Linked DNA regions of Tamandua tetradactyla. The protein of the gene in region 4 purifies or fractionates together with the protein of the main gene of each other region. This does not show direct contact. Links are inferred from orthologs where the notes say so. Each region holds a gene or a part of one and is shown on either strand. Other genes may lie near its edges.

The links.
Region 1: the proteins of RNPS1 (region 4) and CSNK2A2 purify together in Homo sapiens (co-immunoprecipitation; 3 studies listed by BioGRID and IntAct, with this or other methods). This does not show direct contact. The link is inferred for Tamandua tetradactyla from reciprocal best matches to the Homo sapiens genes RNPS1 and CSNK2A2.
Region 2: the proteins of RNPS1 (region 4) and NOS1AP purify together in Homo sapiens (co-immunoprecipitation; 3 studies listed by BioGRID and IntAct, with this or other methods). This does not show direct contact. The link is inferred for Tamandua tetradactyla from reciprocal best matches to the Homo sapiens genes RNPS1 and NOS1AP.
Region 3: the proteins of RNPS1 (region 4) and AP2A1 purify together in Homo sapiens (co-immunoprecipitation; 3 studies listed by BioGRID and IntAct, with this or other methods). This does not show direct contact. The link is inferred for Tamandua tetradactyla from reciprocal best matches to the Homo sapiens genes RNPS1 and AP2A1.

What each region holds. Positions count from the first base shown.
Region 1 is NC_135342.1:51,831,868-51,838,729, forward strand, and holds the start of CSNK2A2 (casein kinase II subunit alpha'), read right to left. Parts: upstream 3,009-6,862; 5' UTR 2,993-3,008; coding exon 2,889-2,992; intron 2,129-2,888; coding exon 2,017-2,128; intron 1-2,016.
Region 2 is NC_135330.1:15,202,969-15,210,944, forward strand, and holds the start of NOS1AP (carboxyl-terminal PDZ ligand of neuronal nitric oxide synthase protein), read left to right. Parts: upstream 1-4,972; 5' UTR 4,973-5,058; coding exon 5,059-5,163; intron 5,164-7,976. UniProt on the Homo sapiens protein: Adapter protein involved in neuronal nitric-oxide (NO) synthesis regulation via its association with nNOS/NOS1. The complex formed with NOS1 and synapsins is necessary for specific NO and synapsin functions at a presynaptic level.
Region 3 is NC_135342.1:11,396,435-11,403,416, reverse strand, and holds the start of AP2A1 (AP-2 complex subunit alpha-1), read left to right. Parts: upstream 1-3,967; 5' UTR 3,968-4,106; coding exon 4,107-4,173; intron 4,174-6,979; exon of another isoform or gene 6,980-6,982.
Region 4 is NC_135349.1:55,260,731-55,268,694, forward strand, and holds the start of RNPS1 (RNA-binding protein with serine-rich domain 1), read left to right. Parts: upstream 1-4,944; 5' UTR 4,945-5,052; coding exon of another isoform or gene 5,053-5,054; intron 5,055-7,573; 5' UTR 7,574-7,690; coding exon 7,691-7,761; intron 7,762-7,964. UniProt on the Homo sapiens protein: Part of pre- and post-splicing multiprotein mRNP complexes. Auxiliary component of the splicing-dependent multiprotein exon junction complex (EJC) deposited at splice junction on mRNAs.

The DNA.
Region 1 (6,862 bases), on a different chromosome or scaffold from region 4:
ATGTCACACACACACACACACAAAGCTACAAAAAGAAATAAGAAACAACACTCTAACTAAAGTATCAAAGGAGACTTCTAAGTCTTATTCCAGAACACTGTTCAACATTAAGACCCCACAAGACAATACACCAAAGTAAGACACCGGAAGAAATAGGAAACAGGCATTGCAATAAAGGTTCATTACTGAATAATAAGGGTTCATTATTTTAGCAAAATTATGAGATAAGTTTCTTTGTGCTTAGGTTTACCATTTGTTTAAAAAAACCCTAGAGTTTCCATATTGAGGACCCTAAACACATCCCAAGAATTTTTGGAGCAAAGGAAAACTATCAAGCAACTGACCCTATAAAGTCCTTTAGAATGACTAAAGAGTAATGTGATAATTTCCTAAATGAACATACTGATATTTATACATACACCTGACTGCTGTTTCCTCTCAAAAGTGCAAAGCAAAGAGATTGCACTTATTCTAAAATGTTACCACTGCACAAAAGTTTAGACGTTTTTCTGGAATTGCTTTAGAGTCAGCAGTTCATTTTTCAGAATGTATAGTAGTGGAATGTGGCTATTACTAATTTCAACTTGTGTCTTAACTACTTTCCTAGAAAGATGTGAAGCAGCTTAAATAAAAAACATTTGTGCGTATGTACATAAAGAAATAAATTGTATGGCTTCCCCAGGTGATCTGTCGTCTGAAGAGACATTCATTTAAACATTAGTGTTTGTTAAAAAAAAAGGACCATGTGATTTTAAAGATACAACTCAAATTTGGGGAAAAGCGGAGTCAATAACTTTAACATCAATTCCTCACTTCTTGTTCCCAATATGTCTGGCAGCACAAATAACTAGCTATCTGCTCTAGGTAGGAGCAACTTTGCTCCTTCAACGCTAGGTAGGAGGTCCTAAAAGACTGTGTCAATCATTTTTATGAAAGGCAATTTCCAGACAGCATAAGTACCCCACACATTAAAAAGGACTACCTACACAGCTGCCCTAATGCTACCCTTAAGAAACAAAAACAGCTTTTTAACTCCACATTTCTGTTCCACACAAATCTCTGCAAAATGGCCACATTGCCTATATGTAAAGTACTTCCTCAGTTTTCTGAATGGAAACAAAAACAGCTTTTTAACCCCATTTTTGTTCCACAAAATCTCTGCAAAATGGCCACACTGCATTTATGTAAAGTACTTCCTTAGTCTTCTGAATGTTTCTTTAAATGATATGCACACACTTTAAATGACCCGGCCAAAATGAGGCCCCATCACAGATTGAGTTACTCTTTAGTACAACCTCTAAAACATCATTTGCCTGAAGGAAAATTCAGTCAATTCTTCATGGTCATTAAGATCATGTCTTCATGCAAGTGATAACAAAACAGGCATATTATGAAACTTAGCCACTAAACCCCGATATCAACAGTGTCTTGTTCCAATTATTACTTTGGAGATTGGAAGCATACTCTTCTGCTCACTTTTACTAGTTGACAAGCAACAATGAACCTTTCCAAAACTACTAGCTGTTATTTCCACTTCAGCTGAAACTTTATCACCAAAGAAGGGACAAGTGGTTATCCACTGAGACATTTTCCTCCACTTGGGCTACAAATTCATCTTTGAAGGATAAATTTATCTTCTAACTTTCCTTCCGGAATAACTTAATGCACCAAGAGTAACAAAAACAATAGTCAAGCAACCTCTGGATTGTTAGAATCTTCACAAAGAGATATTTCTTTCCTCTGAAATATCAGTTATGTTGTAATACATAGAGTATGGGATTTTTTTGCTTTGAGAGCCCATAATTTAAATTTGGGAACAAGGACTTACTTTCCTGACCTAACATGCTTCTGATTTGAGGCAGGTCTCCATGTTTTCTTGGAAATTAGGAGGAAGGAGTAGTGGAGGGACATCAGACAGAAGGCAGTAAATAAAATGAGAGTTAGGACTGTAGCTCACATAGATTCCCATTTGGCCTGTGGAAAAAAAAGTTTAAATGCCACTCATAGGACACTCACCTTGAGGATTTTTACAACCACTCTCTCGTTGTTGGTGATGTTAATAGCCTCAAACACTTCACTATACTTTCCCCGACCAAGTTTTCGAACCAGTTGGTAATCATCCTGATTACTGTGAAAGGAAAGACAGACACATAAATGCTAAGATAGTGGATCAACCAAGTTCAGGCTCACTATACACTCCATGCAGATGCTTCCATTAATCAAACACTTGGAAGTGTCTATACATCACATCACAACTCATTCCCTAAATGAAGGCTACAACAAAAACTTGGCTCCCTTCACTCTGCAGAGCTCCTAACCTAATTGTTCCCTCATAACTTAAGGGAGATGATGTAGAGGGAGCGCAAAGCATCCATACTGGAGCGCCACAGGGTACTCCTCCACCGGTGGCTTCAAAGCACCTGCCTCATACTTCACACCCTGAACGCAGACAGTGCCTGCTTTGCTAATCTGGACGTCTTCAAAAAATTTCCTCCCACCCAGTCTCAGACAAACTAAAAGGCAAAGAATTTTAATAGCTCAAGAAGACAGCTGTTTACTTCCCACCCCAACAGAAAGCCAAAAGTGTGAGGAGGATGGGCTGCCCCCTCACTTCTATGAAGATCTGGCCCTCAGATCCTTTACGTCTTCCCAGGAAGAAAGGGAGATGAAGAAAGAGAGGGGTGCGCCAAGTGGGAAGAGGAGGCCAAGGACACGTGCGGAGGGGGAGGGGGGGTTCAGTCTCCCACCCCAGACACGAGAAAGCGCCGGCCCAGAAGAGGAGCAGGCGGGGAGACAGATCGCCCGGAGCCGAGTGTGGTTCACACTGGGGGGCGGCCGGGCGGGGCCCGAGGAGGGTGTGAGGGTCGGGTGGGGGGCGGCGGCTTTACCCCCAGCTCGGGACGTGCGACTCATAGTCCCAGTACTCGCGGCTCCTCAGGCTGTTCACCTCGGCGTAGACCCGGGCCCTGCTGCCCGCGGCCGGGCCGGGCATGGCGGGCGGGACCGGGGGGCGCCGCAGGGCGCAGAGGGTGGCGCGGCGGGGGGCGCCGGGTGGAGGGCGGAGCGGGCGGCCGGCCGCCGGGCGCCGGAGGAGGAGGAGGAGGAGTGCGGCGGCGGGCGGCCGCGCCAGGCCGGGCCCGCGGGGGCGGGCGGGTTGGGGGGCGCGGGGGGCTCCGGCCGGCCCGGCCCAGCCCCGGAGCTGCCGGCGAGGCGGAGGGACGGGCGGCGCTCGCGCTCCGCGGCGGCCTCAGCTCGGCTCGCGGCCCCGACTCGGCGGCAGCAGGGGCGGCGGCAGGGGCGGCAGCCGCGGCAGCCGCCGGCCGGGAAAGGGACAGCGGTGGCGGCGGCGGCGAAGAAGGAGGAGGAGGAGGAGGAGGAGGAGGAGGAAACCCGGAAAAGGGGCCGCGCTCAATAGGAGCGGCCACCGCCCGGCCCGGGGCCGCTCGGACTCACAGCGCCCCCTGCAGCGCGGGGGGACCCGCCGGGCGGCGCCAGCCCCGCCCCCGCCCCGCCCCCTGCCCAAATCTCCCCCTCCTCAGTCTGCCCTGACGCGGTCCTCACGAGGCTTCCCCCACTCACAGACTGTCTCTCTAACCTTTCCTCTCCAGTCCCGACCCTTTAAAAACTGTCTTGGAGGTTCCTACCCAAAGCTCTCCACCCTCTAGCCACCCAGAGTCCTCCGTCCTCAAGACCTCCCCTGCTGACCCAAACTACCCCCATCGAGTGCCCTGCTGATGACTCTCCTCAACTACTTAGAGCCTCCTCCGCCTCAAGATCCCTCTGCTCCTCCCAGAGGCCCCCCTTTTTTCCTCCAGACCTTGTCTGGTCACCCATAGAGGTCTCAACCCTAAGACCTCCTCACCCAGAGCCTCCTTTCAAGACCCTTCTCTTACACTTTCCCCCCAGATTCCCTTACCTGAAAGAGCACTTCCCTGAACAACTTCTGAATGTTCCCTTGGTCACTTGGTTATGTTGGTCCCTGTCAGGTTGTCTGTTTTCCCCATTAATAGATAATTTGTGGGGAGCTTGAACTCTGCAAATGCCCTTTTTATGTGTGTGAGGACGGAGAGCAGTAGAATTGTGTGGGGGTTCTGCCTGAAGGCTCAGTCCAGGGCGTGGGGTGGACTGAGGGTGGGGTGTTTTTTATTCTGTTGCCTCCTATCTCTAAACACTTCTCTCTCTGATCTTCTGGGCCTTTCTTCTGTTTTCCTTTCCCATCCTATATCCTGTATCAATGGAACGTCCTCATTCATCCCAGACTTTTCTGACTTTAATCCCTTTACACATTCTGTTTTCCAGATGAGACCCTGCTTCCTACTCCTTGTTATTATTAAGAGGACAGAATATCGAGTCAGATACAAGCAGGTTTGAATTCCTGCTCTACTGCTTATAAGCTGTGTGGCCTTGGCTTGGTTGCTTAACCTCTCTGTGCTGCAGAGTTTACAGCAAAAAATCAGTAATAGCACTTACTTTACAGGGAGAATTGAAAAGGTTAATTCATGTAAAACACTTAAACCAATGTCTGGGAGGTACTGAGTACTCAGTAAAGGTAATTACCCAATATTATTATTTCCAGTTCCAGAGCCTTTCTCCTATCACTTTTCCCTGAGACCACAACAGGCTTATCTTTCAGTTCTTTCCACCTTCTAAACATGGCCAGGAGCTACCCCCACCTTTCACTACTTCCTTCCCATGGCTGACTCTTGCTCTTCAAATCTCAGTTTAAAGGTCATTTTCTCTTGAGTTGACAATTCTCTGTCTCAGCACCCTATCCACATCCTTCCAGAAGTCTGCATGGTCTGTGATTATTTGCTTCCTAACTGTCTGTCTCCTCCACTGTAAAAGCAGCATCCAGCATCTTCCACAATTCGAGGCTTTCAGTGTATACAATGTTACCCCGTAGATTACTTATTAATTACAAAGGGGAACCTGGAGGTCATGACCTTAACTGTGGATCTAATTTAGCATCAAAAATGGGACCAACTGAACTCTTGATGTGATGCACCAAGATGGGACACGATATCCCCAACGCAGTACTCCTGCCCCAAAATGCTTAATCTGAATCTAATCAAAGGGCACAATCAAACATATCCAAACTGAGGGAGCATTCTGCTAGACAATTGGCCTAGATTTTTCAATAATATCAATGTCACGAGAAGAAACAAAACCCCTGGAGTGAACTTCTCAATTAAAAAAGACTGAGAGACATAACTAAGTTAAGTATATGACTTTGGTTTAAATACAGAATAAAATGGGAAAGAAGGAAGGGACGGAAAGAAGAATATAGTTAAAAGGACAGTAATGGGATTATTGGAGAAATTAGAATAAAGGATGTATATTAGATAATATTGTATCAATGTTAAATTTTGTGAATGCGATCATTGTATTTTGGTTATGCAGGAGAATCCCTTGATCTTGGGTATTACATGCTGTTGGAAATTCAGTAATGACCCCCCATAAAGACGTGTCAAGTTCTAACCCCAGTTACTGGTTGTAGACTCATTTGCGAATAGTCTCTGCAAAGATCCAATTGAGATGAGGTCAAATTGAGTTAGGGTACCCTTTGATCCATATGACTGAAGTTCTTTTTTTTTTTCTGTATGCTGTATGGTGGGGTTACAATTCATCTTTTTCCATGTGGCTATCCAATTATTGCAGCACTATTTGTTGAATTTATTTTTGGGGGGAAATGGGGGAAGTGCACAGGCTGGGAATCGAACCTGGTCTCCCTCATGGCAGGCAAGAATTCTACCACTGAACTACCCTTGCACCCCATGACTGGAATTCTTATAAACAGAGGAAATTCAGAAGTCAGGAGAAGCCAGAGGAGGAGAGAGAAAGGGATTGCCAGGTGATATGGGCAAACATGCATCTACAAACCAAGGAACACCAAGGCTTGCCTTCAAGCCAGCATTGGAATACCACTGACACAAGGAGAAAGCATGGTCTAGCAATACCTTGGTTTTTGACTTACAACCTCCACAATTGTGAGACAATACATCCCTGTTGTTTAAGCCAACCAATTTGTGGTATTTGTCATAGCTGCCTTGGCAAACAGAGACACATACCAAGTGTTCAGGGATAAAGTATAATATCTGCAACTTATTCTCAAATGGTTCTCCACAAAAAAGCGTGGGTTCCAGAGAGCAAGAGCACACATGGGGGTAAGGAATAATTGGGGGAGAATTGTTAACAATTGGCAAGTATAGACAGAGAGCACACGAGCTTACAACTTTTTGGTAGATTTGAAATTTTTCAAAATAAATAAGAGGGCAGGCCAAGGTGGCTCAGCAGGCAGTGTTCTAGCCTGCCATGCCAGAGACCCAGGTTCGATTCCCGGTGCCTGCCCATGCAAATAAATAAATAAGAGCGTGTATGAAATAAGTGGACTTTGGCATTTAATTCCCAAACATGGACACTTCCCTGAATCTTTTTTCCGTGAGAAGACACGAGCATTTTCAAGCTGTTCATGTAGCCATAGGATTTCTTTCTGACAAGTCTTTGTGAATTAGCCTGTACCAGAAGTTCTTAATCTGGATCCTTTGGATGAGCACCAAGGACCCCTGATGCTGCATGCAAAATTTGTGGGTCAGTGTGTGTGGGTGACGGTGTGTGTGCGCACATTTTTTCTTCAGCATCCATCAGCTTCTCAAAGGAGGCCATGATTATAAAGTGGTTCCAAATCACTGGTCTAACTACTATGTCCAACACTGGCAGGAACCCCATTTCTTGCCTCCACCCTCACCCACCTGTGACCCCTCCCACGTTCCCTGAACCTTCTCATCTTTTACCACCTAACCCACACCCATCTCACGTAACCTGCTCCCACACCTGCCAGGAAGCCTGAGGATTTGCCTACACA
Region 2 (7,976 bases), on a different chromosome or scaffold from region 4:
CAATCAAGCCAAATTAAACCAAACAAAGAACCAGAAAAGTAATCCCGAATTGTCAGCCAGTGAGAAGGTCCAAAGCTAAAGTGGAATAGAAGCAAGAATTAAAAGCATTTGGAAACGAGAAATGTGGGGGTACTTTGGGACCCATGAAAGTGAGATAGAGTTGTTTGCGGCTTTATCTGTTTTCATCAGTATTCATTTTTGGGTACAAGAGACCAGCACAACTCTTAAAATATGAAAATCCAATGATCAGCTTTTAAAAGATGGAAAATCCAATGATCAGCTTTTACCCCAAACATTTTTCAATTGTTGCTTAAATAGAAGGGTCGGGGAATATAAGTTTGTTTGTTTGTTTTTGGTGGGGGGAGCTGCACTTTCTAATTTTACACCCTGGGTCACATCCCAGTTTATAAATTTCCTGCGACGTTACAAACATCTCAGCCTGGTGTTGAAGTTCTCCTTTTGCCATCTCAGGACTAATCTTATCACTTGCTCCCCAGTAGGAACTCTCCATCCGGTGAGCTCATCTCTTCACTGTCCCCTGAAGACACTTTATAGATGAATGTCTCTATAGACCCTGTTTTTCTGCCTGGCCTCCTCCTGCTGTGTTATTTATTCAAATCCTTTCCTTTTTAAAAGGCCACCTCAAACCTCACCCCCTTGAAGACTTTCCTGACCAATCAGCCCCAGGGATTTTGGGCCTTTCCTTCCCTCCCTGCCTCTCACCCCTACGTTTGGATCACACTCTGTCATCTCATAACCACTGCAGTTTTTAAGTATATGCCTCGCCAAGGATGTATACCTCTCTTACGTCCCCTGCTACCCTGAGAAATGATCATAGCAGGGACACTTACTTAATGTTTTCTACTGCCTTTGGCCAGAAAGCTTATTGACCAAAGGCTGTTGAATGAAGAAATGTTTCACACCTCAAATACTAAGCAGTGCCAAGAAATACAACTATAAACTTTAAGATTATCAAGAATAATCTGAATGAGAAAAGCAGAAAATGGTTATACCATGCAGGAGAGATTAGATGGATCTAATAAAAAATATGAAGGCTGGCATTACAATATGTGATACCTTCAGAATAACCTTTCCTATGGGACAAACATTCCAAATTGTTGTTTTATTTCTTATGCAGTAAAAGATCACAATAAACCAAACCAGACAAGTAGTGGTAGAGATTGCTATAAAACTGTTGATATTCTCACAGTTAATACCAGTTTCCATTTTGGAAATCATGTTAATAATTTCTTCTACTATTATGAAACCTTACTGTTTATAGGGCTTTCCATCTCATGATATGCTCAAACAACTCCATGAAGAAATTAAGATGCATTTCCTATTTCTTTACCAATGAGGAAACATAAACAATGAAGTTGAGAGAGACGCCCAAGGTCACAATGTTGGAGTCTTCAGACTTTAACTCAATTCTCATTACAATAATTAGCCCATCTCCAGACACAAAGTCTATCCAATTGTAGTATAATCTTTTCTCTTACACTAGCATCATTTTTAAAGAAAATTCTCCAATCTTTAGCATTCTTTTTATGTCATCAATAAAACCAGAGGCAAGCTGTATTTCTTGGCACTGCTTAATATTTGAGGTGTGAAACATTTATTCATTCAACAGCCTCTGGTCAATAAGCCATAAAAAATGAATGACGTTCTGATACATACTACAACATGGATGAACCCTGATATGTTGAACGAAATAAGCCAGAAACAAAAGGACAAATACTGTATGATCTCATTTACATGAAATAACTAGAATATGCAAATTCATAGAGACAGAAAGACTGGCTGGCTGGGGTGGGGCTGGGAAAAGGAGAGTTAATGCTTAATGGATACAGAATTGATGGAAAATTTTGGTAATGGCTGGTGATGGCAGCATAAGATTGTCAACAAATCACCTTCAAATTCTATAGTGAGAAGTGGTTAAAATGGGAAATGTTATATTGAATATATGTTACCACAATAAAGAATTTTAAAAAATAGGCAGAAAAATAAGAAATAATTTTACATTACAGTTACTTATCTACAGAGAGCCATTGAGAATGACAGGACTGGAAGACTCAAATCTTTTCATTTTACTGAGAGAGATCTTTCCTGGTTTATTGGTGCCACATTTACTGTGAATTTTCACATCTATTCTAAGTCATAACTCAAAACTTCTGATTGACTCATTTTCTAATAAATGCCTCCTTAACATTATGGAGACATTTAGTTGTTGGGAACTTTAAAGCTCTCAATATAAAATTCAAGCTGAAAGAAAATTAAAATACCCAAATTAGAAGTTGGAAGACCTGAGTTTTAATTCTTTTCTTTTTCTCAGAGAAATCACTTAATATTTTTATTGCCACCTATAAAAAGGGGTAATGAATCCCAACTCTTTACACCTTAGGGATACACAGAAAAATGGAAAAAGAATTTGAGCATTTTGGAGCTAAGTGTTATCTGATGGTAGGAAGTCATTATCTGTGATTAATGTTTAATATATTATTATTTGTATGAAGATTTGTGGTTTTTTTCCCCTGTCTATGTATCTCAAAAAGTTGACATCCTCTTCTCTGTTGGCTATACTCAAGGAAGGTTTCCTAGGTCTTACTGCTTTATGACCTACACAAATTATTTCCCTCTCTGAGCCTCAGTTTCCTCACTTGTAAAATGGTATCCGACTCATGGTTGTGGGAGAGATTAAGTGGGACTATGCACATGCAGTGGTTAGCATGGCAAAGCTGATATTTCTCACCAAAAGCAAATTAATTTTCTCAATTTCAAATATGTGCTCAAAAAAATTTGCTGTTAATCCATTTATATCCCATCATTGTGTAATGGAAAGATTACTGCGTCGGGAGTATGGGAGAGATCCTTCCTGGATTATTGGTGCCACATTTACTGCAAATTTTCACATCTGTTCTAAGTCATAACCCAAACTTCTGATTGACTCATGGCCATAGTGATAGCAAGTTACTTAAATCTCTTTGTCTTTAAATGAGGGGGTGAGATTAGATATCTCTGATATAACTTCCAGCTCTGAAGTTCTGTGGTTTAGTGTTTTTAAAAAATATATAATTTATATTAAAATCGAGTTTCAATAAAATTAACATAGGAGGTATCTCATGATTTAGCAATTTGTATTTTTATTAAATCTATTTCAGATGAAAATTTTATTATGAAACGTTTAAAACGTTTAAACGTTTAAAATATGGAAAGGTATGGGAAGTGATACATGCACTGTCAATCATTTTAAGATAAAAAGCATTTGTTTTTATAGATTTGGAAATATTGTGGGTGAAGTGTATTACATTTAAAGGTACAAAAATAAGATCGAAACCTCAGCTAAAAAATGGAAATTCCTTTGGATGCCTATTGTTGCTGGAAGAAAGGTATCTTAATACCGTGTGGCATGGGTATGATAATAGGTAGAGGCCAAAATAGAGAACAAGCCTCTCTTTTTAGGAACATTTCATCTAATTGAAATGGGATGAATATAATTTAGCAACATAAAACATGGACCCTGAATTTGAGGTGCATCTCATTTGTAATTAGAAGTCTTCCATGGAGATCCAGGCATGGTGGAAACACCTCTCCACATAGAATTGATTTGGGTTCAAATACTAACTACTTTCCTTTCTATGAAATGCATTTGGGATGCCAGCTTTTTTTTTTTCTTCTTATGTTTGGTCTACAAACAATGTGTTATAGAGTTAGACACGAAATTCTGGTAAATATCAGCAGTCCAGTGGGACCCAAGTTAATATAGAAAAGTCCCTTTGGAATCAGAGAACATTTTACATTCTAGATAGAATATGAGATACAAATGAAGTAGTTACTTAAGGTACTGCCTTTAAATTGTTGAGTGTAACTGTGCCAGGTTTTAGAGAGTGCATTTATGATGCATATTAAAACCACTGTGACATTCAAAGAGTCAAACATGTCTGATTAGACTTTCATATCCTGTATTTATAAAAAGCTAAGTGATGCAGCTCCTCAGTACAAATTATTTAACCTATGATAAATTGTAGAGGAGGATGTATTATTGTCGTTAGTTCTCCTTTCTGCTTATCCCATTTTCATAAGACTGACGGCTTTAAAGTATTATCACCATCACAAAAAGCATTACCTCCCCCCTCCGCCACTACACACTATCACTGAAAGGAACAAAAAGTGCCTGCCCTATTCCTCTACTTGTATTCAATCTTGATTAACCAAGGGAGGGGACTCTCAGAATTAATGAAGTTCAGATTTGGGACATTTGGGGCGGGGCTTGGGCCATCTCGGTAAAACAGAACGTAAACACCTTCTCCCCCCAAAACAAAACAAAACCAAACAAAAATCAAAGGCGATGCTGTTGCTTCTATCAGCAGCTCCGGCTCAGACGCTGCACCGAGCTTGCGGTCGTAAGCTCCCAGCTTTCTGGGGCCGGGGCGGAGTTCCCCGGGTCGGGCCCAGCCCTGCGCTCCCAGGACTTTCACCTGCTCGGCGGGCGGCGCCGGCGGCGCGGGGGGCGGACCCGGCAGCGGGCGGGGCCTCTGCACCCGCGGGAGGAGCCGGCCCGGGCCCGCCCCGCAGGAGGAGTTGCTCGCTGGCGGCTGATCCGGCGTCTCCGTGACAGGCGCCCAGCTCGGCCGCCGCCGCCGCCACCTTTTCTTCCCGGATCGGGCTGCCCGCACCATCGCTCCGGGGTCGGCTCCGCGCCTCGTCCCGCCTCGGGCTGCGGCCTCGCGTCCGCCGCTCCCCTCCCCCGGCCGGGGCGCCGCGCCGCCCGCTCCGGTCGCCGCCTCCGCCGCCTCTCTCCTCGCCGGCCGGAATTGCGCGGCCACAGTGCGGCTCGCGTCGCCCGCATCCGCGCCTCCCGCCCGCGCTTGGCCCTCGGCGCCGCCCGGGGTCCCAGCTTCAGCGGCCACCTCGCCGCCGGGACGCCCCTCGCCCCGCGTCCTAGCCCGAGCCCGTTGCGCGCGCTGCGCGCCCGGCTCCCGCTTCCCTTCCCCGGGGTCTCCCCAGCCTCTTCCTGCAGCCGCCGCTGCCTCTGGAGGAGCGGGTCCACCTCGGGTCACCATGCCCAGCAAAACCAAGTACAACCTTGTGGACGATGGACACGACCTGCGGATCCCCCTGCACAACGAGGACGCCTTCCAGCACGGCATCTGCTTTGAGGCCAAGGTGAGGGGGGCACGGGCAGGGTATTGCCCGCGAGGGGCTTGTCTGAGTGGATCTGATGCACAGCCATCCTGGAGACAGCTAGAGGACTGAGCTGGTTAGGGGGCTTTTCTGTTAGGGTGGGTGACACCCCTCCTCAGCATAATTCCACGGACTCCTGCCTAGAACTGCTAAGGAGCAACTAAAGTTTGAGCGGTAGTGCTTCGCCCTCTTCCTCCTACCTGCAGACTCCCCCTTTCTTACCCGCCAAAGGATTGGATTGAATTACTTCCCGATCCTTCGGGCGGGTGAGCACAACCTGTACTCTGGTCCTTGAGGATAGGGAAACTCTGCTGTTATTTACCTGCTGGGCTCCCGTGGGAGAGGTGCTTTCAGGAATGGAGCCCGCTTCCTGATTGAGGAAAAGCCTTTTTTCCTCTTCCAAGTTCAGGGGTGCTTCTCTAGAGTCTAGGTAGGGTCCAGATGTCAGTCACTTCCTAAATGCTTGATTTATCAGGACTCCTTTGCAAGTGTGGGGGAAGTGCTGCCCATTTGTTGGTTTTGTGGCTTGATGTTTAAGTTTCAGCTGCTAACAGAGAACTACTGTTGAAGAATTTAGGAAGGATAACTGGAATTTTCAGTGCTCAGGCCAAAGCCCCAGGTTCATCTTTGGGGCGGGATAGGGGTATGGGGCTCTGAACTGGCCCATCAGGTGAATATGTGATGTCCCTCCTGGCAGAATTCCAGGTGGGCTTCCTGTGGGAGAGGGCTCCTCCCTGGCAGTGTTTCTGCTCTTCCTTCATGCCTCTTGAAACCCCATTACATAAACATCAGGAACTCAGCAACTCCTGTGTGCCTGCCACTGATAATCTTTAAAAACTGCTCCTTTTAAAATATTGGGTCTTGCTGGTTTTAAAACTTTGTAGTTTTGGCGTGCAGTCAGTTTTACCCTTCCCTTTTTCTCTTTCACCACTATGTAGATGCAGGGTGTTAGTATCTCATGCAGAGATTATTCCATCAGGTGTCTCTCTATTTCCTTCAATTCAAGAAACATTTTTCCAGTGCCTGATATGTACCTGAAGGTGTCAGTTATTGTAAAAGTTTTTTTCTTCTCAAAGACGTGCATGGATTGGTGAATCTTACTTTTTTCCCTCCGAATAACCTCTCCCCAACCGTATTGACTAGAGCGTAAAGACCCCTCCCCCCCAGACATTAGACACGGCCATGGAATTCAGAGCTCAATTACTGGATATAGTTGGCATCAGAATGGGGCTGCAGCTGAGATGTTATCTTGCTTCTCTGGATAGATCTGGTCAGCCTAAGATGGGATGTTTGGGTTGATTTTTGTCCAGTCCTGTTGATTTGGTGAGCTTATTTTTAAATTTTAAGGTAGGAGTTTTCATCAGGGTCATGATTTAGCTTTCTTGGAGATATTTATATATGTACTGGGAAATCGGCTCTTGCCTTGTTTGGTTCACCAGTGCTCTGTTTTGCAAGAATGAGAATAAGAAGGGAGATCCAATTTAAAGTGTTTTTAAGCTTTCTTATTTATTCACAAGTTCTCTGCAAGGTCCCAGCTGAGGGTACAGAAGTGTGTTAGGAGAGGATATTGAAAATTCACATTCCTTCTATCGCCCAATTCTAATTTGGTGGGATCTGGGGGCAGCTGAGTAGTGTGTGCCTTTAACAAGCATCCCAGGTGATTCAGTGGAGGTGATTGGGACCAGACTTTGATAAATACTGGGCTTGGGGCTGGCCTCCACCTTGCTCAATCTTACCCTTCCTTTCCTAGCACCAGGTGTGCAGTTTCTTCTCTAAGCGAATGCCTGGGAGTTGCACGCTATAATTCCTACAGTGACTTCCCAGGATTCACAGGCAGTGGTGTTTGATAAGAGGAGAGGGACCACATTTGCTCCAAGCTCTGTTCCCAGTGCAGATCTAAGACCAAGGATTCTGGTCTGAGAATGATGAGGTAGAGAAGAAACGGCAGAAGGGAGGTGGCAAGGCTTCCTTGGGGAAAGTCTGTCCTTGAGGACCTGAGTCTTAACTTCTAGCTCTTGGTAATCCGTGTTGGACATCAGTATATCCGAACACCGTGTCATCCGCGTGGCGGATGAATAGAGGTGGAAGCAAATGCTTTTCTGTTCTCTGCACACCATCTGACAAGCACCTTCTCTGACTGGTTTCCACATCCCAGCAGAGTACGCCAATGGGCTGTGCAATCACTGGGACTTTAGGGTTAAATCCATATCACACTCTTTCCCTTGTTTTGGAAAAGCGCAGGCTGTAAAATGCAAATATATTAAATCGCCTCCTTGTCGAATGCCCTTGGAAAGTGAGCCCAGATCTTTCTCTTCCGAGAACTAGCAGTTTTTCATAATCAACACTGGGTGAATGGAGTGACCCGTTGAATGTATGCCACACATTTTCAGGTTTCTGCTAAGATTGAAAGGTTAGGATCAGGACTGAACGGCCTCTGGGTTCTATACATGTAAACACACAAACACCTGTGCGTAATCATCAAGCAGACTCCTAGATGAATTTCACCTGTGGTACCTCATTTACTATCTCCGAGGCGGGTCTCCTTGTGTTTGTTTTATAAATGAGGATATGGGTTTATGGAGATTATTGCCTGCCTTAGTGCACACAGCTGTCTATGGCAATGCCAGGTTTCAAGTCCCAGGAACTTTGACTTCAGACTCCTAAAATGCAGTGCTTATTCATTTAATAAATGTGTGTGGAGCACTGCCACCGTGCTGGGTAGTGGTTTGATTCACAGCTCACGGTGGGGCACCCTCAGGTTGCTGGCTCCTAGGACTCTGATGTAGCTACTTATT
Region 3 (6,982 bases), on a different chromosome or scaffold from region 4:
ACCTGCTGAAAAAGAATCTAAACGTGATTGTATAACGATAAAGCTTTCGCAATGCGACTGTGTGATTGTGAAAACCTTGTGTCTGATGCTCCGTTTACCTACCTTATGGACAGATGAGTAAAACATATGGATTAAAAATAATTAAATAATAGGTGAACAAATGTTAAAATACGTTTAGTAGATTAAAATGCTAGTGGTCGATGAGAGGGAAGGGTAAGGGGCATGGTATGTATGAATTTTTTTGTTTTCTTTTTATTTCTTTTTCTGAATTGATGCAAATGTTCTAAGAAATGATCATGATAATGAATATGCAACTATGTGATGATACTGTGAGTTACTGATTATATAACAAGAATGGAATGATCATATGGTAAGAATGTTTGTGTTTGTATGCGGTTATGTTTCATAAATAAACTTTAAAAATGCAAAAAAAAAAACCACCCCCAAAAACAAAAAAGAATCTAAGTGAATATCAAGTTCCAGCCAAAAGCAGGCTGAAGCATCTGGGGTCAGGTACAGATGGACAGAGGGAAGGGTACACATACAAACAGGTGATAAAGCAAGTAAAGAAATATGTTAACGGTGGAATCAACGTGGGGGTAGAGGGTGTTGGCTCAATGGCGATTTTGACTTTTCTGAGTATTTAGAAATGTTCATCACGCAGTGATGGAGCAGAAACTGGCAATTGGGATGAAGTAATAGTGCGATCAAACGATCAAAAAACATGATGCTAAGCGAAATAAGCCAAATGCATGATTCTGCTTCCATGAACTCACCAGAATCAGCAAATGCATAGAGAGGGGAAGTAGGATGAGGTTATGGGGGTGGTGGTGCTGGAGGGAGGGAAGGGGAAGTGATTACTTAACGGGTACAGAGTTTCTGTTCAGGGTGATGAAAAATTCTTGGTAAAGGATGATGGTGATGGTGGCACAATACTGCGAACGTAATTAATATTGCTGAATCGTATGCATGAAAGTGGTTAAAATGGGAAATTTGGGGTTGTATGTATGTCACCACAATAAAAATTTTTAAAAATCCAAGCTGCAGAAGGACCGGGCAGAGAGGGCTTTAAGAAAGCAATCCAAGATCCAGGCAACAGAGGGTGGTGGCCTGGAAGGGGCTGAGGCAGGCCATGGGGTGGCTGCAGGCATCATGATGTGTCCTGATTTGGTTTGGGTGGAGGGGTGGGGAAGGATTCCAGAACAAATGTCTGGAGTTATGGCAGGTGCCCAAACGCGAAGACCGGGGGTAAGTTTGGTTCTTCTGGAGGAAATCAGAATCCGATGTGCATCATGAGTGGCCTTGCTCGGGTGGAAGTCTTAGAACTTCTACTAGTGGCTCAACCCATGTGCTCCTTGGCGTGCCCAAGGTTCCCTCTTACCGTCCCATCTTAAAGCCTATCATGGCTTGACCACACCTCCCTAGATCTCCTCCAAAGGTGGACTTGTTCATGACCTGGTCTTCCAGGTGACTTACCAGCAGATCAGCCCCAGCTTTCCAGAATGGTCTGGCCCCAGCCTGCCTGACCCTACTGAGAGCCTCTGACTGCTGAGCACAGGCCACGTGGCTTGTCCAAGCTGAGCCGGGCTGTATGTTTACTGGATTCCAAAGATTTACAAAAATAAGAACATAAAACAGGCTAAAATGATAACAGTTGGATACTGGATTAACTAAAATATACTATGGAAGTTAGGATCACCTGTTTCTGTTTATTTATTTATTTTAACGTGGCTAGAAATTGAAAACTAGATTGGAAATTACACCCAGGGTTCTCACTGTAAATCTCTTTTTTTTTTCACATGGTCAGGTACCAGGAATCAAACCCCGGGTCCTCGGGCATGGCAGGTAAGCACTCTCACCTGCTGAGCCACCGTGGCCCGCCCCTCACTGTAATTCTATGTGGACAGTGCTATTCTAACTCAAAGGGGGTCAGCCATGTCCATCCCTTCTCAGGCTCAAGACGCCCAGGGCCCAGGAAGGCAGCCCCTGGCTCCTCAACCTGCCCCAGTCTCAGGTCCTCATCAGACCTTAGATCGCTTCTACTTTAAGCCCAGTCTTGAAAATTAAGTTTCAGCCAATTAATGAGCTCCCTGAGGGAGGAGAGGCCAGGCTGAGTCCCCCATATACCCAGGAGGGGGCTAGGACATCCTTCACTCCACACCAAGAACCCAGAGTTAAATCTGTTTGTCCTTAGGTGGGCTCTGTGGGGGACATGGCGGTGGTGGCGGTGTTTTTGTGTGTGTGTGTGCGTAACGACCCCTCACGTCTCTTCCTCATAACCCCCAAACAGGACTAGTTTGAATTCCACTACTACTACTATATACTTTTAAAGGCGATTTCTTCAGGGACAAAGTGGTCCTCTCCAAGTCACCCACGAACAAGTCCTTGGAACGCTTAATGTTTTCCTCCATTAAAAAAAGGACTTGTTCAACTCCTGGTCCTAATAATACAATTTTTAAAATAGGATTGCCCCTACGTTCCCTAGGAGAAGCCAGTCTCCCCTTCGCGGTGTTAGGAATGGACTCGCCGGCCCAGACAGCCCCCCCTAGGATGCAGAATGTATTTTCCTAAACCCTATTCTTGGAAATCCAAATGGACGGATCCACTGAACCTGAGAGGTGGGCTCTTACCCATTCCCCCAGGATTCGGAGTGGACATTCCCAGGATCAGGACACTCCCCTAAGGCTCATTCCCGGGATACTTGGCTTCTGAGATTAGAAAAGGGTGGTGGGGTGGGGTTTTGTTCCTCGAGGTGACAGAAATGGACTCTCCCACTTCCCTTTGCCCCAAATTTCTCAATAGCCAAGGGCGCTGCAGTTCTGGAAGCTTTGTTTTCCCCAAAGCCAATCAACCAAACAGGGTCTCCGGAGCGCCGAGGGGCCGGGCCAAAGCCGATTGACCCATTCCTTACTTCAAAAAGCATTTTTTTTTCCTTTTTAGCTTTGCAGTACAAGGTTCCATTCTTGCCCAGGCGGAGCTGCGCATCTGGTGAAGATAATCACAATTTTTATTTGATATCTGCTCTAATGGAGGTTACCTGAGGCGTTGTTGTTGAAGAAAAACAAAACAAAACAAAACAAAAAACAATGAAAAGTGGCTATAGGCCAAAATATAGTTTAAATCTCAGTTTTGCCGCTGCCGAGCTGTGTGACCTTTGACAAGTCACTCAACGTCTCTGGACTTCAGGTTTAACTTCTGTTTCATGGGACTAGACGTGGATACAGTTCTTCTCCAGTGAGATCCCAGGTTTTCTGACAAGCCAAGTCCTGACATCTTAGAATCTAGAGAAAGGTGGCGGGAAGGAAGAGAGAATGCTCCTACAAATGAATTTAAGGAATTGGGGGGGGGAAAAAGGGAAACTAGGAGACGCTTGCGCAGTAAACACCTCCTAGACTCTCGCCCCGCCCAACCCCTTCTCTGCAGCAGGGAATTGCAGACGTCGCTCTACCTATCCCAGACCAGCTGAGTGACTCTTCCCCGTCTCCTTCCTTCTCCACCAATCATCGCCCTCCACCCGCCCCCACACCCGCCCACTCGAGGGCGGAAATAGGCCAGACCCCGCAAATCCGCGATGCCTGTGGGGGTGATCTGCCCCTCCACTGGCCTCTGTGCACTCAAGTCCCGCCTCCTCAGGCCCGCTTCCCCGCCTTCCTTCACGTCTTTTCATCCCCTCTCGGAGAGAGGCCAGGTCCAATCAGTATCCGACCCGGCAGCGCGGAGGGGGCGGTCCCACGGTACGTAACCGAACCCAGCCCGTCTCTTGGGCACCGCTCCCTCCCCCGTGCCCGAACGGAAATAGCGGGGTACTGGACCAATCGCAGCGCTGTACTTTTACCTAAGGGCCAATTAGAAAGCAGTAGGGGATGAGCCCTAGCCTTAGCGGCAGTAGCCACAGCCAACCCGCGGCTGACAGTTCCGGGCGGTGGAGTCGAGGGGAGGGGCCCGGGGGCGGAGCCGCGGCCTGTCCGCCCGCCCGCGCGCCCTCCCCTTAGTCCCGGCCCGGCTCCTCGGCGCTGCCTGAGATTCTCTACGCCTGGTCGCCGCCCGCCAGTCCCCGCTGCGCTGTGCCCTGCCCGGCCAGGCCTGGAGCCGACACCCCCGCCATCATGCCGGCCGTGTCCAAGGGCGATGGGATGCGGGGGCTCGCGGTGTTCATCTCCGACATCCGAAACTGTGAGCCCGCGGCCGGAGGACACTGGGGCGGGGGAGCGTGGATTTGGGGGCTTCGGAGGCCGTGGAAGGGCCCCGGGGGTGGAAGGCCAGCGAGGTCACAGCCAGAGAGGCGCCGGGGGAAGTTTAGGGTGGCGGGGATGGAGGGGCTGCGGGTGTCATCGAGTGCCTCTTGAGGTGACGACACGGGGAGGACCCGGGAGGGTCTCAGAGAAGGGGAGGCCCATGAGGTCCAGGGGAGGGGGGGCCAGGCGGCGTCCCTCGGGAACGGTGGAAAGGCTGACCGTGGGTGGGTGGAGTGTGGGTTGCATTGTGGGCGATGGGGGGTCCTGCTGTAGACCGGACTGAAGGAGGTACATGGGGGGTTCCTTGTGGCGCCGTGGAGCGGCAGGAGGCTAGAGCGGACCGAGGACGTGAAACACAGCAAGATTAGTGGGGCAGGGCTTGAGCGCCTGGAAAAGGGGGTGTCATGGATGAGAAGGGCTGGATAGGTCACAGGTTCCTTGCTAGGGGTATAGAAGGGGCTTGGGAGTGATAGGAAGTCCCAGGGGGCTTGGGGAGGGGAGATGGGGGACTGTAGTTGGACCCTGGTGAGAGATAGGGGTTTCCAGGATGGGGGGTGGCTGAAGAGATGGGGGGCAGTGGGGAGGGGGCTAGAGGGCTGGTTGTGGAGGGAGTCATGAGAGAACCTGACACGTGGGGTCAGGAAAAGAGAGGAGTTTATTTCAAGAGTAGGATGAGGCTGGAGGAATGTTCCATCGGGTAGGGTGGGGGGTTGCCCAAAGCTCTAGGAAGGAGGGCCTGAGGGGTTTGTGGGGAGAGATCTGGAAAGCTAGGAGTGGGATTGGGGGTGGTGGTGATGGTCCCCGAGAGACATCAGGGGTCAGGCAGCAGGACAGCCCTGACTCCAAGCGTTTCCTCATCTGACCACAGCAGTTTAGGGTCAGTGATCCCTGCCGGAAAAAGTTGTGTGGACGGGAGGCCTGTCACCAAGTCAGCTCCCAGCTCCCGGGGCTGGCGTTGGTGTTCAGAGCTGCCAGGAGCTCAGGCTGTGTCTGAGTGGGCTCTGGGGTTAGCCAGTCCTGGCTTTGAATTTGTGTGCCAAGTGACCTTGAATGAGGGCCTTCACCTCTCGGGTGCCTTGTCTGTCAGATGGGCTGCCCAGCACCCCTTCCTGATGGGGTGGTCTTGGTCTTGTGTGTGGTGGGTGTGAGGCGTTTCACATGTGCCAGGCACCAGATGGACACCGGCTATTTTGTCATTCTGCCGGATCTGCGGAGGCTCCTGTTAAGTGCCCAGTGGTTATTTTAGAATTCAGTAGGTATGAATGGAGCTGGGATGTAGAAGGTGCTCAGTGGGCAGGAAGGATGGGAGCTATTGGGTGCCAGTTGATGGAGGTGAAGTTAGGGTTATTTTGAAAAGGGGAGGGAATTATGAGGGGTGGTTAGTCAGGCTAGGGGGGGTGGGGGGCAGCTGTTAGGACTGAGTGTGTGCTCTCTCCCGTGCCTCCCAGGTGGGTGTCCCTGGGCAAGGGTGTCCCCTGGATAAGTCGTTTGGCCTGTTTGAGGCTCCATTTTCTTGTCTGTAGACAGCACTGATAACAGCCCCTTGGCACTTAAGGCTCATTCATTCCTTCACTTGACAAATGTTGTTTGATCACTGTGGGGTCCCAGGCACCATCCTAGTCACCAGGGGCTGCAACAGAGAACAGGAGCCCCTGCTCTTGGCAGTTTCCATTCCATGAGGGAGATGGAAATAAACACACAAGGAGAACAATCAATGGCACAACATCAAGTGACGGTCGTGAAGGAAAATAAGGCAGAAAAGGGATGGAGAATGACCGGCATGGAGAGAGTGGTCAGTTTGAAGTCCTCGCTGAGGAGGTGACAATCCAGTGGAGACTTGGTGTGATGTGAGGGAGCAAGTCCTGCAGATTTTAGAGGAAAGAGGGGCCCGGGCAGGGGACTCAGTGTGTTCAAGGGCCCTGAGGTTGGAGCTCACTTGATGAGTTTGTTCAGATAAGGGTGCGGAGGCCTTATATGGAGCTGGAGCAGAGGCTGGGAAGAGGACAGGAGGCGATGACAGAGGGCAGTGGGGCGGGCCTTGTAGGGTTTTGTGGGCCACAGCCGGCTCTTCGGCTTTTCTCTGGAGTGAGACAAGAGCCACGGGAAGGTTTTGATCAGAGCAGTGTGATCTGATTTGGGTTTAAAAATAATTCCTCTGGCGGCTGTGAAGAGAGCAGACTGAAGAGGTAGGAGCAGGAGTGGGGAAGCAGATGAGGCTGCTGCAGGCATCCAGACGGGGACTGCAAGGGACAGTGGTTGGATTTGGGGCACGTTTTTTTTTTTCTTTACATGGGCAGGCACCAGGAATCGAACCCAGGTCCTCTGGCATTGCAGGCAAGTATTCTTGCTTGCTGAGCCACCGTGGCCCGCCCTTGGGGCACATTTTGAAGAAAAGCTGATAGGGTATGCAAAGGGCTGGAATGATAAAAAGTAGGGAAGGAAAGGGGAAACAGGTAGATGTCACTGCAAGACCCCAGAGGGAGCCAGAGGAGAGAAGGGGAGCCTCAGACCTGGGGGCAGCCGAGGGAATTCAGCCAGAGGAATTCAGACTGGAAAGCCGGGGGTCCTCTTGCCCTTCCTTTCTCTAGCAGCTCCACTGCTGTGCTTCCGGCTGGAGTGGGGTGCTGTGGACACAGCAGTGAATAAGTTGGGTTCCCCTGCATCTGTGGAGCGAACAGCCCCAGGGCAGGTGTATAAATTTACTGCGTAAAATTGTAGCTGCTTTCACCAAATTTTGTACACAGATG
Region 4 (7,964 bases):
AATTGCGACACTCCAGCTCAGCGTGCAGGTCCGTGGGGCCCGCGTCCACCCAGAGCTGCAGCTGCAGACGGGCAGCCTCCTATGGAGGGCAGCCTGGGCCCCCACACTCACCCACAAAGCAGACAGCCCCTAGGGGATGCCCCACAAGGCTCCAAGGTTCACACCCCAAGTGATGTCAAGGTGAAGCCGCTCACCTCCTACACACGTGGCCAGCGGGCACACGGGATATCCCCGCCCTCCAGACACAAGAATCGGCCCCTGAACCCTGGCTCAGGTCTGACCCTGAAGCTCGGTGAACCCCTGCAGCCCCTTTCCCTTGCGTGAGGGATGGCAAGGCACCCTAGGGCCCAGGGTCTCAGCCCCCACAGGCCCAGGGCAGCCCTCTTAGGACCCCGAGGAGAGGCAGCCAAGGAGCGGGGCAGTCGGGGAGTCCCCATCCATACCTGCCACTACCTCTGGCCGGCAGGAGTAGGAGGCTGGAGCTGTGGGGTTGGGCCCTGCCTTCCTTTCTCAGCAGACGGGGCTGCCCAGGCTCTGTTCCTGGGGCCCAGCCCACACCCCACAGATGCCTCCCTGGTCAGAGAAGCTCCATGTGGCCTGGCTGCAGGGGGCTCAGGGGAGGCCAGGCCAGCTATGGCCCCTGCTGCTCCCTGGCTCTGCAGTTCATCCCCTGCTGCAGCCCCCTCTCCCCTGGCAGCCCACCCCAGGGTGGGCAGCTCGGTGTCACTGGCCTCGACATTCTAATGACAAGAAAGGACACGTTGCTTTTTTTTTTTTAGGATTTTTTTTTTATTAATTAAAAAAAATAAAACATTTAGAAATCATTCCATTCTACATATATAATCAGTAATTCTTAATATCTTCACATAGTTGCATATTCATCATTTCTTAGTACATTTGCATCAATTTAGAAAAAGAAAAAGACAACGGAAAAAGAAAATGATAATAGAGAAAAAAAAAAAACTATACTTACCATACCCCTTACCCCTCGCTTTCATTTACCACTATTTCAAACTGAATTTATTTTAACATTTGTTCCCCCTATTATTTATTTTTATTCCATATGTTCTACTCTTCTGTTGATATAGTAGCTAAAAGGAGCATCAGACGTAAGGTTTTCACATTCACAGAGTCTCATTGTGAAAGCTATATCATTGTTCAGTCATCATCAAGAAACATGGCTACTGGAACACAGCACTACATTTTCAGGCAATTCCCTCCAGCTTCTCCACTACATCTTGAACAACAAGGTGATATCTACTTAATGCGTAAGAATAACCTCCAGGATAACCTCTCAACTCTGTTTGGAATCTCTCAGCCATTGACACTTTATCTCATTTTACTCTTCCCCCTTTTGGTCAAGAAGGTTCTCTCAGTCTCTTGATGTTAATTCTCAGCTCATTCTAGGGTTTTTCTCAGTCCTTTGATGCTGAGTCTCAGCTCATTCCAGGATCTTTGTCCCATGTTGCCAGGAAGGTCCACACCCCTGGGAGTTATGTCCCATGCAGAGAGGGGGAGGGTGGTGGGACTGCTCATATTGGCTGGAGAGAGAGGCCACATCTGAGCAACAAAAGAGGCTCTCTTGGGGGTGACTCTTAGGCCTAAATTTTAAGTAGACTTGACCTACCTTTTGTGGGGTTAAGTTTCATGTGAACAAACCCCAAGACTGGGGGCTCAGCCTATAGCTTTGGTTGTCCACACTGCCTGTGAGAATATCAAGAATTCAACTTAGGGAAGTTGAATTTCTCCCCACTCTCACCATTCCCCGAAGGGGGCTTGCAAATACTTTTCCAGTCACTGATCAAATCACTCTGGGATTCATCGGGGGATCACTCTGGACAAACCAACAAAATCTCAAGTGCTACCTGAGATTACTAGTACTTATGACATTCAAACTATCTACATGAGTTATATTAGGAAATGCTCTAGTCGAAATCTAAATTTTGTAACAAACATTTTTTGCTTTAGTCTTACACATAATGTGACATTTTGAAGTATTAGTTATCATCTATTTTCAGCACCCAGCAATAATGACAATCCTTTGTTCTTCCTCATGCAAAACATTTTTAAAATTTGTACATTGTACATTTCACTATTATTATACACTCTAGGCATTCCTAGATTATACCATCTTGATCTTTAACATCTATCTTTCTTTCTGATTTCATTTATGTCCCCAGCCCTCTTCCCCCTATCATTCTCACATGCAGCCTCATTCAGTGTTTTAACATAATTACATTAGTTAGGTAGTATTGTGCTGTCCATTTCTGAGTTTTTGTATCCAGTCCTGTTGCACAGTCCATATCCCTTCAGCTCCAATTACCCACTATCTTACCCTATTTCTATCTCCTGATGGTCTCTGATACCAATGACATATTCCAAGTTTATTCTCTAATGTCGGTTCACATCAGTGGGACCATACAGTATTTGTCCTTTAGTTTTTGGCTAGTCTTACTCAGCATAATGTTCTCTAGGTCCATCCATGTTGTTACATACTTCATAAGTTTATTCTGTCTTAGAGCTGCATAATATTCCATCGTATGTATATACGACAGTTTGTTTAGCCACTCGTCTGTTGATGGACATTTTGGCTGTTTCCATCTCCTTGCAATTGTAAATAATGCTGCTATAAACATTGGTGTGCAAATGTCCGTTTGGGACACGTGGCTTTGAGCCTGAAAACCTGCACAGCTTCCCAGCCCACAGCTCTGGCCCCCCAGCCCCTCTGAGGCCCGTCTCCCTCAACCCGCTGCCCCTCCTCCCCCCACCCCACCACGGACAGTGTCCTTCTGCAGCACCTCCTCCATCCACCCCGGTTCCCCCTCCTCTCAGCTGCACTCAGCATCCCCATCCCCTTTAAGCCGCCCCTCCCGCACACCGCCTAATTCCTCTCAGCCCGCACGGTGTCAGGCAAAGGACTCGAGGAAGTCAGGAAGTGTCTGCTGGAGGGGCCAGAACCCAGGCCCGCTACGACCAGGCTTGCCCCAACCCCATCCAGGCCCCTTCAGACAGCATTAAATTCTCCCCAAAGTCACACAGCTCCTTGCAGCCTCCGCTCCCACCCAAGCAAGCCCCTGTGCTGTACCCTGGGCTGGGCCATGCCTGTCTTTAGCACCCATAGCTGGCTTTAGTGATGGGCACAGGTGCTTCCCAGACATCGTTTTCAAGGGGATTCGGTGCCCGCCTCCACCACCAGAACTGCCACCCCAGCTCTCGCTGTGTCCCAGCTGCCAGCCTCCGAGGGTGGGCCCTGCAGAGGCCATCTGGACCAGGGAGGGTGAGGGCAGGAAGAACATTCCACCTTGCTGTAAGCATGCTCCCCACATCAGCACTCCCCAAGCCTCCCGGGAAGTCTAAAGCACCTAACTGTGCAGAGGGAGCACCGGTAGTGAGGAAATGGGGGAGGGCGCTCCCCAGTCCCCCGGGTGTCAGTGACCTCGGCGGCCTCTCCCAGGATGCTGCCCCAGGCCACGTGCAGAACTTCAGGGCCCGGCCAGCTGCTCAGTGCCCTGTCCACAGAAGCCTGCCCTACCCCCATCAAACCACCCCATGGGGGGTCCCCATGACCTGGCCTTGCCACCCTCAGCGCCCACAGCCTTGGCAGGATGGCACTGGGTCACAGGAGTGGGGAAAGGCAGGACTCCCGAGGGACGGGAGAAATGTACATCCATGTTTCTTATGAACACATTTCTACTGTGTCTCAAAATGGCAAGATCAGGATGCTCAATTTTTAAAGCTCAACAGCTGACTGTACATTTTATAACAAAAACCAGTAATATTTAGAAACAAATTTAATTAAATTCTGAAGTGTCTGAATAAATCATGTTAAGTTTAATATAAAATGTGTTAAATTTTTCAGGCATGCCAAATTAAATTACTTTAGCGCATTAACCAAAAGCAGGAGGGAGGAAGGGGGCTGGCTTTCCACCCCCCACCGCCCTCTCACCACGGTGGGGTCTCCTAGCTGCCCCTGAAGGGTCAGTGCTGCCCTGGACACATGATGGTTGGCTCGGGATTTGGGGAGCCCTTGCGGATTACGGGTTCCCACGTGCTGTCACTTCTGCCTGACTGGACCACCTAGTCCACCCCATCCCCCAACGCCCACCTCTGGCTCCCCCTCACGGCAGCGGGAAGGGCTGAAGGCACCACCCACTGGGGCACCCCTCGTTCCCACTTACCCCTTGATGCTTGGCCACGCCAGGGGACGTGATCACAAGGCACAGGATTTAACTCCTCCTAAATGTCGCCACATCGAATCTAAATCCAGGGGGGCGCCCCCACCCCCAACCCTGGAAAGTGTGGGCAGGACCCCTCCTTGCCGGCTGTGTTTTGCCCCCCAACTCCTCAGGCCAGAGGGACTGGGGAAGGGAGGGACCACACCTTTCCACCCACCCACCCATCCATCCATCCTGAACTCTTTCCTGTCCTTCACTTGAGGCCCTTCCTTCAAACCACCGGCAGGAATGTGCTCCCCTCCTCTTCCCCGCTGCACCACCGAGTTCCAACAGGTCACCCAGGCCGAGCACCTTCTCTCCTTCCACAAATAACTGCGAAGCGTCGACTACTTGCCGGCCACGGGGGTGACGAGGCGGGGAAGGAACCCGGCGAGGCCCGCGCCCTCCCAGCCCCCAGAGGCTCGGCAGCGGCCCGCACTGCGCGCCCGCGTTCCCACGCCTCGCCTCCCGCACCCACGCGGGACTCCGACCGCGCGAGCCCAGGCTACGCCCCAGCAAGCCCCCGAGCCCAGCGCGCGCGCACGAGAGGAGCGGGGCCGCGCGCCCGTGTTAACCCCCTGGCTGCCGGCCCATCGCCCGACCCACCCCAGCGCCGGGAGACGCCCCCAGGGAGGGAAACCAGGGCGGGTCCTTGACGCGGTGAACCAGAAACGCCCTTGGCCCTTTAGACTCTCCTCGCTCACGGCCATTGGCTGCCGCGGTTTACGTCATCGCTGTGCGACGACGGACGGCGCGCTCCCGCTCCCGAACCCTGACGACAGACAGGCGCCAGCCTCGGCGGCTGAGGAGAGCGGGAGGCGCTGTCGGCGGCGGGAAGATGTAAGTTCGGGGCGGAATCCGACCCCATCCGAGCTTGCAGGGCCGCCCGCTAGGCGCGGCGGGGCGCATCGTGGAGCCGGCCCCTCCACAGGCCCGAGGCGGGAACGGCGGCCCGGCGGCTTGGGTTCTTGGGAGAAAGTGCGGGCCGGGGCGGGCGGAGGGGGAGGCGCCGAGGCCGCGGCCCGGAAGTGGTCGGGCCCGGCGCGGACGGAAGGGCGCCCCTCGCCCGGTGCGCTCGGCGGCGGGCCCAGCTAGGCCCACGGGGCTCCGAGGGGCCGGCAGAGCGGTCTCCGCCCTCGCGTCCTCCCGCCGGGCCAAGACCCGGACCCGCAACGGCCTGGAAGCGCTCGCGGCCCAGAGCCTGGACGGGGGAGTTGTGAGTGAACGCGGACGGGAGGCGGCAAGGTCGGCGGGCGGGTTGCTTTGTGGGCGGCCCGGAAGACCGGCTGATACTCGGTTCCTGGTCAGCAACTCACACATTTGCCCGTCAATGTTACCGGGTCTCTGGTGCCCGTCTCGGTACCAGGCCTTGGGAATCCAGCCCGGTGTAGTCCGAGCACGGTGACCGAGGCGGGCACAGTCCCTGCTGTCGGAGGGGCTCCGTGTCACGGGTTCCCCCAGAGGGGAGGGTGCTGGAAGGTTAAGGTCGCTGGAGGAGACCTGGAAGATGCTTTCCTGCTTTAGTTTTTTCGCATGAATTGTGCCTAAAATGTACATTTAAGTGATAAAGGTGCTCTTAAGAGTCGAGCCCAAACGCCATCCGCTCGGGATGTAACTAATTGTTCTCTTCTTTCTCTGGCTGTTGGACGCCCACCATTCCGGAGGATGGGGGAGGTGACTGCGGTCCTGTCCTGTTACCCGCATTTGCGTGGACAACCTCACTCTTTGCTTTCTAGTACCCGGCAGTACCCAGCAAAGCGCTCATTTATTCTGCGATTCTTAGTTTTTACAGTGCTTAAAAATAACCGCTGGTGTTTGTTTTGCAAAGTGCATTCAGGGTTATGTCCTCGAGATCTTTAGGATTGGGGTGGGACCCAGGAATCTGAATGTGTAACCTGTAAGCGGGGTCTCTGCAGTAGCAACTAGCCACATGTAATTGTGGAGTACTTGAAGTATAACTGGTCCCAGTTCAGTTGAAAAATGTACACTAAGTTTCAAAGATTTGGTATGAAGAAAGAATGTGAAATGTTTTATTAATCTTATATTGACATCTTGGATATACTATATTCACTTTATTAAAAATTTCACCTGAGTTTTACTTTTTATAATGTGGCTACTGGAGAATTTTATGGTATGCTTGTGGCTCTTTATTCTCCTTCTGTGGACAGCATTGTTCTAGGTGATCCTCACCTGGGCAGGCCAAGGACACCTGTAGAGCATTCAGGAACCGTGTGTCACTTTGGAAACAAGTGTGCATGTGGGAAAAGAGCCTCCAAAAGTTGAGAAACAACCCTCTCATAAAACATCAGCTACCATTTATTGAGCCTTAACTGGGTGCCAGGTCTCTTTGGTGGATTAATTCCATGAATGTACTTGTTTCCAGATGAGAAAATAAGAATCAGAAAGGTTCAGTGACTTGTCCAAGGTTACATAGCAAAAGTCTTGAATTAAACCCAGGCCAACTGACCCCTATACTCTATACTCCTATCCACTGAATTCTACTCCCTGATTGCCCAAGGACACTCACCTTATCAGGTGCTTCCTGCTGGTATCTGTAGCACTTTATTTTAAGGTTTTACAGCCCTGGGAAGGAGCGTAAGGGTGATAGTCTGCTCTCTTCCACATAACCAGCATTAGAGTCTAGAAGTAATATTTCTGCTTTCTTTGCTTTATCGTGTTTCTAGCCATCTATTAATCTTATATTTCATTTCAAAGAAAATTGTACTTTCTCCCTACACTGAAGTACACATTACCTTAAAGTTCAGTATTTCCAGTAACTACTTTTTAAAGTATCATTTTCCTGCATTTTTAATGTTCATATGGGACATTTTATCTATTTGTGTTTGGGTATTAAGTGTTTTGATGCTAGTACTAGTCACTTTTGAAATATATTTTTGCTTGTAGTTATATGTCCAGTATATCCTAAAAAGAAATTACAGCAATAAAACAAGACACCCAGTTTTATAAGGAAAACCACACTTGAGTTAGGCTTTTCTCTGTGTTGCGTGTGAATGGGGTGCTGTATTTTTTTTAAGGGGCTTTAGAGGGCTCATCAAACTTATGGCCCAAGAAACTTATATACAGCCTGTAACATGACAATGACAGGTTTCACCTCCCTCCCACCCCCATTTGCTCAAGAAAAACAGAAGCTGAGGTGACGGTTCAACCTGTGCCTCCTGTAGGGTGAGAATCCTCTGTAAGGAAATGGTGACTGCCCACCCCAGGTTTCTGGCTGCGTGGACACTCTTTGCTTACTGTGTTCACGTGCCGATTTCTCATGTGCTCAGCTTTTTACTGCAAAGTAGATTTGTTGCCTTGCCAATCCGTTCACTCTTTAAATCCTTTTATCTTGTTATTAGGCTGCTCTTTGGCGTAAATTGCAATCGATTAGGGATCGTTTCTCAGAATCGAGTTAGAAGTGAGAGTTCAGATCAGTGAGGCCGCCATTGCTGCTCTGAACACTTCAGAAGGGGAGAATGGATTTATCAGGAGTGAAAAAGAAGAGCTTGCTAGGAGTCAAAGAAAATAATAAAAAGTCCAGCACTAGGTAATCCTTCTGTCAGATTTTTCTAGTGCTACTTCGGGGGTGCTACTGCTAGGAACTCTCAGAAAGGGGAAGGTTGGAAATGTTTTGCATTTGACAGTGAAAATGTCCTAAGCCACAGAGCATTTTGCTCTGAGGTTCCCTGAGTTCTCTGGCCCTTGTGGCTCCGTCCTGTGGGTTGTGGTGTTGTTCAGGGTTCTGGTCTG